Mus musculus: one gene and its partner. The protein of the gene in region 1 purifies or fractionates together with the protein of each later gene. This does not show direct contact. Links are inferred from orthologs where the notes say so. Each region holds a gene or a part of one and is shown on either strand. Other genes may lie near its edges.

Region 1 (3,813 bases):
CTGAAGAGGATGTCAACAGGAAAAGTCCGCCCAGGGATGTGGAAAATGGGTACATTCCCAAAGAAGGCAGCAAACTTTTCTGCATCCATAGTAGCTGACGTGACAATGAGCTTCAGGTCTGAGCGTCGAGCCACAACCTAAGAGAAGGGGACAGCAGGGGTTCCTGTGATCTTGGGACTTCAGTCTCAGCTCTGTCCACAGACAGAGCAAACACTAACGCTGGCAAGCCGGTAGCTTTGTCTGACTGAGCAATGGAGCTACAGCTCAGCGTGAAGACACCAGCAGGGCTGACCAGGTGACCTGGAAGCTTCCGAGGAAGCCTCACCCATCCTCTGCACCTGAGCCGCAGAGGAACCAGAGCCCGCCGTGGCCTTACCTCCCGGAGCAGCCCAAAAAGCACGTCGGTGTTGAGGGAGCGCTCGTGGGCCTCATCCATGATGACGGCGCTGTAGTGGTCCAGGTCAGCCTCCCGGAGGGACTCGCGCAGCAGGATCCCATCCGTCATGTACTTGATCAAGGTGTTTTCCGAAGTGCAGTCCTCAAAGCGGATGGCATAGCCCACCTGGGGTCAGAGACAGAGCTCACCAAGAGGCTAACTACTTACCGTTTGCCCTCACAGACTGGAGTCAGGCTTAAGCAGACCACAGCTTCCAGCACAAATGGCAGAAGCGATCAGGAGAAGGCTACATGGCTCAGACCTCACGCCCACTCACCTCTTCTCCAAGGTTGCCCCCCATCTCTTCACTGACTCTCTTGGCCACTGACATGGCAGCCACACGCCGGGGCTGGGTACACCCGATCATCCCATAGTCCGTGTAACCATCTTCATGCAAGTACTGGGTCAGCTGAGTGGTCTTGCCACTCCCTGTCTCCCCGACCACGATCACAATGCTGTTGTCTCTGCAGGGAAGAGCAAGCAAGGCACTGAGCAGCCTGAGAGGAAAGCCAAGCTTGAGACAATTCCCTGAGAAGCCTTAAGTCTGGCTGCCTCTGGCAAAGCCTAGCTCTGCAAGAAGCATTCATGGCCAGAGGGTTCACCAGAAACCAGCATCTTATGGGGCTTCCACATGAGATGCCAGGGACCCAGTCAAGGTGAACCTGGACCACTAAAGGAAGTGATGTCATCTTACTGTGCGCAGCACACACTCAGCCAGCCCATTACGGGCAAAGTGTTTCCCTTGCCCATTAGACAATGCACAGACAGGAGAGCCACGGGGCCTGGGCCGTTACCTGATGATGGTGAGCAGCTCCTGCTGCACGGCAAAGATGGGCAGGTACTGCCTCTGCTCCAGGATCGACTTCTTCTTGGCAAACTCACTGCTGGCCTCGCTTTTCTCCTTCATGTGATCTGCAAACTTCTGCTCCGTCCTGGGAAACACAGAGGCACACATGACCTCCCACACTGTCCCTCAGGCTGAAGTTAGCTGCCCTTCCTGCTCCCAAGAATGTGAACAACTGCGACAAGAATCAGTCAACCTCCTGGACTCCAAAGCAGCCTGGGCATCCAAGACTGTATCTAAATGGGCCTAAGGAGCAGATATCACACAAGACTCCACCTCCATAATACACAGTCCAGAGCCCTGATCAAACAGCTGCATAGGGAGCAGACATCAGACTCTAGGTGGGCAGATCGCCTATCCTAAACAAAGTGTGGCCAGAAGAGGGGCTGAAATTAACCAGCAGGTACCAATTTAGAAAGAAGATCTTGGACAATGTTAGGACCAGACTTAAAGGGCTCAAACAGCTATAGGGGTCTCCCAAGTGCTAGCTACACAGCACAGGACATAGATCTGAATTCCTCCCTCCCTTAATAGGACTACCAAGTGCAAAGGCCTCGTTTTCAAAGAACTATGAGAACAGCTCACTTCTATTTGCCTTGCTTCTAGATAACAACCATGTATCAGTGTCTGATACATGGACACACATCCCAAGACCCTTGCTCCCACCTTCCCCCTCAGAGTCCTTTCCTTCCTCAGATCTTACCCAAGCTCTTCAAGTGTCTAGTTCTCATTTTACTCAGTCCCCCTGGCCACCTGACAACTGAAACTAAGGGACTCCAGCAATACCAACCTCTTAGTTGGGACACTTTACACAGAAGTACTAGGTAAAGACGACAGTTCCACGGGACACGTCGTCATTAGGGGATGCGCAGTGGGAGGGCTATTTTGAGTGTAGCACCAAGCCAATGCAGGGACTCAGACAAGCAGTGACTGAACGACTGCATCAGACCCCATGAACGGAGACACTACCAAGCCGAGAGTCCTAAAAGGCCTGGGAAGCCAGCCCTCCCTTCCGTGTTGTGCTGAAATCTGACCAAGAAAAGAAACCCTGCCTGTCAGGACCAACATTTCCTAGCTAGGTGCTCTGAAGCAAAGTCCTTAACCTCCCTGAGCCTCAATCTACACAACCATCACTGTATCAGCGGTGGTGGTGACAGCAAGGAAAGCTCAAGTCAGAAGACAGGACTCAGGAAGGGACCAGAATGCACAAAGATTCCCGTCACAAGCCAGGACCTTGGGAGCCAACTTGCTACTGACCGAGACTACACACACACCTGTAGTCCACTTTCCCGTCTTCTGTCATAGCTTTATCCGGCTCCTCTTCTTTTTTGACACCCATTATGTCTCCTAGTTTGGTCCCTGCCAGTTCCCAGTGTTTGTGCTGAGCCTGAAGGTGAAAACAAGAGTTAAATCACTGCATCCTCTGGCAAGACGGGAGGCCGTGGAGGCTATTCTGATGGAAGGCAGGCTTTACCCAGCAGACAGTAAATTCCCACAAGGCACCAAGCCACACTTCTCAAACCTCATGCCTCCAAGCCCCCAACACCAGGCCCCATGGTTGCTTAACTGAGTAGAACACAGTATTCTCCTGGGCTGCCTCTTGATCCATGCAAGTATGTCCTCTGACTGCCACTGGCAGTCACTGTATGCAGTCTTGACATTTTCTACAGGAGTAAAAAGCAGCCCCCAAGGACCTCAGCCCTAGTAGCACACCACCAACCTTTCTCCGTTCTTTCTGTTCCCTGTGCTTGCGGACCGTCTGGCTGCCTTTCCGAGCAATAATGGCCAGGTCAGAGGTGGCATCCTTCACTGGGATCACAGGCTCCGGCTGCAAGAAGGAGGAGAGGTCACTAAAGGAACCAGAGGGCCTGCTGTGCATGGGCCCTAGTACAACAGGCACTACCCTCTGGCACCGACACTTGCCTGTACCAACCCTCTCCTCCTCCCTCCTTCAGCACTTTCTAACCCGCCCGTCTCTGGCCACAGAGGCCTCACCTGCTTGGTGAAAACGATGCGCCCATCCAGAAAGGGAGGCACCAGGTTGTGCACCATCAGATGCACCTTGGCCGCATTGTCCTCTTCAAAGTCCTCGTCCACCTCCAGCCGATGGACCACCCCACTGGTGAGCATTCGGTTTGTCTCCCAGCGCTCATTGTCCTGTGGGACACAAGGACAGCCACATTTAGCCAGCAGCTAAAAGGGGATCCTGAAAGGTCAACAAGCAAGCCCACAGACTCACAACGGGCTCTGCACCCTGCAGCTCCTTAAACAGGAGTCACTGAAGCCAAGGCCTTGCAGTACCTTGTCCCAAGAAGCAGCTGGGCACCAGCCCTACCCCAGACACAAACCACACACCCAGAGAGTACCACCATACCACTCCCCACACGGCCCCTCACAGCGTAGTGCATGAGAGCGAAGCAGGAGCCAGGATTCCTCAGCTACCCAAAGCTTCCCACTCACGCTCCTGTCCTGCAGAGGCATGTGTGACCTGGTCCTGTCTATAGACAGCCAGCTGTGTTGTGTCATCGCCTGG
Region 2 (3,710 bases), on another chromosome or scaffold:
GAAAGGAAGAAATGTATGTTGAAACAAAGAGCAAGGGAAAGTGAGGCTCTCAGTCCTGGTCCTTTATTTCTTGAGGAAATGATTAGTCGCTACTCCAAGTAGACAATAATTCAAAGATTCACAGGATGTGGCTGAATTGCTGACTGTAAAGGTGTAGGCTGAGTTTTCTTAATGTAAGGAAGACGGTTCGGAGGTTATGGATACTAAATGTAAGACTGAAGATCACACTTCTCTGCATTGTAATATTTGCTAGATAATGTATTTGGTTCTTGGAAAGGCTTTGTTCATAGGTTGGACTTCATTCAGGGTTGCTTCTCAGCAAAGAAATGAGCTGGTTACTTATGTTTTAGTGTCATTTCATTTGGAGGAATTAGGAAAAAAATGAGAGTAAAAGTATTCTACATTCTCATTTTTAGTGAAAGAAAGTGAAGAGAAGGAGGTGCTTCTGAAAACTAATCTTTCTGGACGACAGAGCCCAAGTTTCAAACTTTCCTTGTCCAGTGGGACAAAGACTAACCTCACCAGCCAGTCATCCGCAACAAGCCTGCCTGGTTCTCCAGGGTCACCTGGCTCCCCGGGCTCTCCGGGCTCTCCTGGATCCGTCCCTAAGAGTACATCTCAGACGGCAGCTATTACCACAAAGGTACATGCTTGGATTGGAGTCCCCTATGCTGGCCCTTCCCTGCCATGCTTTAAGCTTACCGGAGCAGTCTTTATTCCTGGATTATCGCTTTGCTTTGCTTTGCTTTGCTTTGCTTTCTGGAACTAGCTAGCTAAATGCTATGAACTGAAGGTGAAACCTCATCACAACCACTACCTGAACTTATGTGTCCAGTGCAAATCTGTAGTCTGCCTTTGGTATTGTTTAACTTATAAATTATAGGTTCATCTTTACCTTTCTCAATTAGAACCCAGGTGAAAACTTGGGAGGGGAAGCCAGAGTTTCTGTTTATATGTGTGGACAGACATCAAAGCTGTGTGTGGAGGTCAGTTCTTCTGCCGTGTGTGTCCCAAAGATCAAGCTTAGGTCATTAGGATTGATAAAAAGTGCTGGCCCCACAGTCTCATTTCATCTGACATTGGCAGGAGATCCCTCAGGACTGAGGCTGCATCTAACGTTGAAATGAAGGCACAGGCTGAGAGCAGAGTGATAGGAATTTCCATAGCCATTCAAATTGTACTGTCATAGTTTCTGTTGAAGAATCAGGGCTAAAGGGGAAATCCAGAAGAAATATCCCATCTGCCTGCATTTTGATAGCATTTTATCTTTTATATTGAAATACATTTGAGCCAGGCATTGTACTACACACAGGTCAGTAATCATAGCTACTCTTGACACTAGGAAAGAAAGATTGCTAGAATACGGCCTGCCTGGGCCACTTAAGACCCCGGCTCAGAAGGTATACAAGAGGGCTAGGTATGTAGCAGTAGTAGATAGAGCCAGCCCTTGGCCTGAGCATGTATGAAGCCCTGGGTTCAACCCCAATACCATAAAAAAATGAATTTTATACAGGTAGTCATAAGCCATTTTAAGTAGCTTAAGAGAACCTTACAAAAATATGGAAATTTTAGAATGTCTATAAAAATTATTTTGAGCATGCTGGCATGGGGCCTATACTTTTTCTAAGTTTTACAACAGGTAATTTCAAATGTAGTGGGTTCTTTACATAATTCTTATTTCTCAACAGGGAGGACTCGTGGGTCTGGTAGATTATCCTGATGATGATGAAGATGATGATGAGGATGAAGACAAGGAAGACACACTACCAGTGTCAAAGAAAGCAAAATTTGAGTCCTAATAATAGCAACTGCCTGTGATCATCAGTACCTGTTGACAAAACTGGTTCTTTACCCCTCCCCCCTACAAAATCCACATCAAAGTGCAGTGGTCTCTTGTGAATGACTGACCCAGATCAGCACCACACTGGACTTCTGCTCATCAAGTGCCAATTCAATGGAGCAGGAGGAGGGGATGCCGTGCAGTTAGGGGAAGACATAAGCCTGTGAGCTCTCCAGCTTGGACCACACATTGCCCTTTTCTCAGGGAAGGAAATGGAAATAAAAAGCCAACAGGGCAGGGGTTTTGTCAGTGGAACTCTGGATTGACTGGTCAGTTGCTACAATCAGAACCTGCTTTCTTGGACCATGTTTGAGACTTAGAAGAATGGGTCTTTCTGCCATAGTTCCTCACTAGTAAAGAATGCCAGCAGTTTCTTTGTATAAAGAGACCTGCCTTTAAAATCATACATTCTGAACATTTTAGTCAAGCTACAACAGATTTGGAAAACCTTTGTGGGGGAGGGGCAGAATAAAGTATCTTTTTTTTTTTTTTTTTAAATCTGTTCCCTTTGCCCTTCAAACTGCAGATTTTTTTTTTCAAAGTGGGGATTTGTCCCTGCTTGATTAAAGATTGAGTGGAATTCTAGATGTGGTCATTTGTGTCATAATTTTTCTTTTTGTTTCAATTTGTTTCTGTTTTTTTTTTCTCTCCCCCTGGGTGTATGATTAGTTGTTGAATATATATATTTGGGACCATTAAAACTTTTTTGATGTAATATAGCCTAACGTGCTGGCACCTGCTTTACATGTGTAATTTGTGTTCTACATCACAGTTCTTAATTTGTTTAGAGTTTTATGAAAGATGGTATAGTTTTTATTGACAAAAGCAAAGTAATCTTACAACTATGTGCATACAAAAGCAATACTATTTTGTGACTAAATATTTTATATTAAAATTTGCATCAGCAGCTGTCTTGAGATTTCAGGGAAATAGAGTGGAATTTAAAACTTCAACAGTTTTGTTAAACTTAGAAACATGAAATTAGTATTCCAAAGAGATTCGGAAATTTCATATCTTGGAGAAATGACGGTACATTAAATCAAAATTGAGGATGGATGATTTAAAAGTAATACTTGACTTTTGAATAATAAAAAGAAAAGTGAAGAGTAAGAGAAATTGTATTAATTGTATGTTTCTTTTCTTTCTTTCTTTTTTTTTAACATATGCCCTTTGGAATACAAGTTGTAAGTGGTGGTACCTAAATAAACACCCAAGAACCATTAAGTGGTACCTTATTAAAACATTATTTTTGGGTCTGGTGACACAGCTTAATAGTAGAATGGGGTGGGACACTTTCCATTTTTCAGCTCCATTACCACCAGAAAATAATGTATTCTTAAATAGGATCTTTACTGTTAGACATACTAAAATGTTTTCAAGAAAGTAAGTGTCTGAGTTCCAAAACCTTCGCTTTTTAAAGGTGGAAAGCAGAACTTACCTTGTAGTTGTAAATGAATAAAATGTTATGCCCAGGAGAGGCCACTATGTGGTCCTAACTGCTTATCCTCAACAGAAACAGGAAATCCAGAATATACTGCAGGCGGTGGTGCATGCACTCGGGAAACTGGAGCAGGTGGATCTTTCAGCTTGAGGCACAATAAAGTATAAAAGATTTAATTCATTTCACAATAGAGCTGCTTTTTAAGACAATTACACAGCTGGAGATGGCACAGTGGTTAAAAGCACTGGCTGCTCACAAACCTCTGTAACTCCAGTCTCGGGGATCTGGTGCTTGCTGAAGGCACTGTACTTGCATGTAGTACTCATATTACATTCAGGGAAACACCCAGCCACATAAATAAAAAGATTTGTACTTTAGCCAAGCAGTTGATGGAGCACACCTTTAATCCCTGCACTGGAGGCAGGAGTC

What was found.
Region 2: the proteins of Dhx38 (region 1) and Ppp4r3a purify together in Homo sapiens (co-immunoprecipitation; 3 studies listed by BioGRID and IntAct, with this or other methods). This does not show direct contact. The link is inferred for Mus musculus from reciprocal best matches to the Homo sapiens genes DHX38 and PPP4R3A.

Annotation. Positions count from the first base shown.
Region 1 is NC_000074.6:109,555,644-109,559,456, forward strand, and holds part of Dhx38 (pre-mRNA-splicing factor ATP-dependent RNA helicase PRP16), read right to left. Parts: intron 3,438-3,813; coding exon 3,276-3,437; intron 3,109-3,275; coding exon 3,001-3,108; intron 2,668-3,000; coding exon 2,555-2,667; intron 1,369-2,554; coding exon 1,231-1,368; intron 901-1,230; coding exon 714-900; intron 563-713; coding exon 377-562; intron 138-376; coding exon 1-137. UniProt on the Homo sapiens protein: Probable ATP-binding RNA helicase. Involved in pre-mRNA splicing as component of the spliceosome.
Region 2 is NC_000078.6:101,038,758-101,042,467, reverse strand, and holds the end of Ppp4r3a (serine/threonine-protein phosphatase 4 regulatory subunit 3A), read left to right. Parts: coding exon 1-13; coding exon of another isoform or gene 14-40; intron 41-416; coding exon 417-643; intron 644-1,688; coding exon 1,689-1,799; 3' UTR 1,800-3,059; downstream 3,060-3,710. UniProt on the Homo sapiens protein: Regulatory subunit of serine/threonine-protein phosphatase 4. May regulate the activity of PPP4C at centrosomal microtubule organizing centers.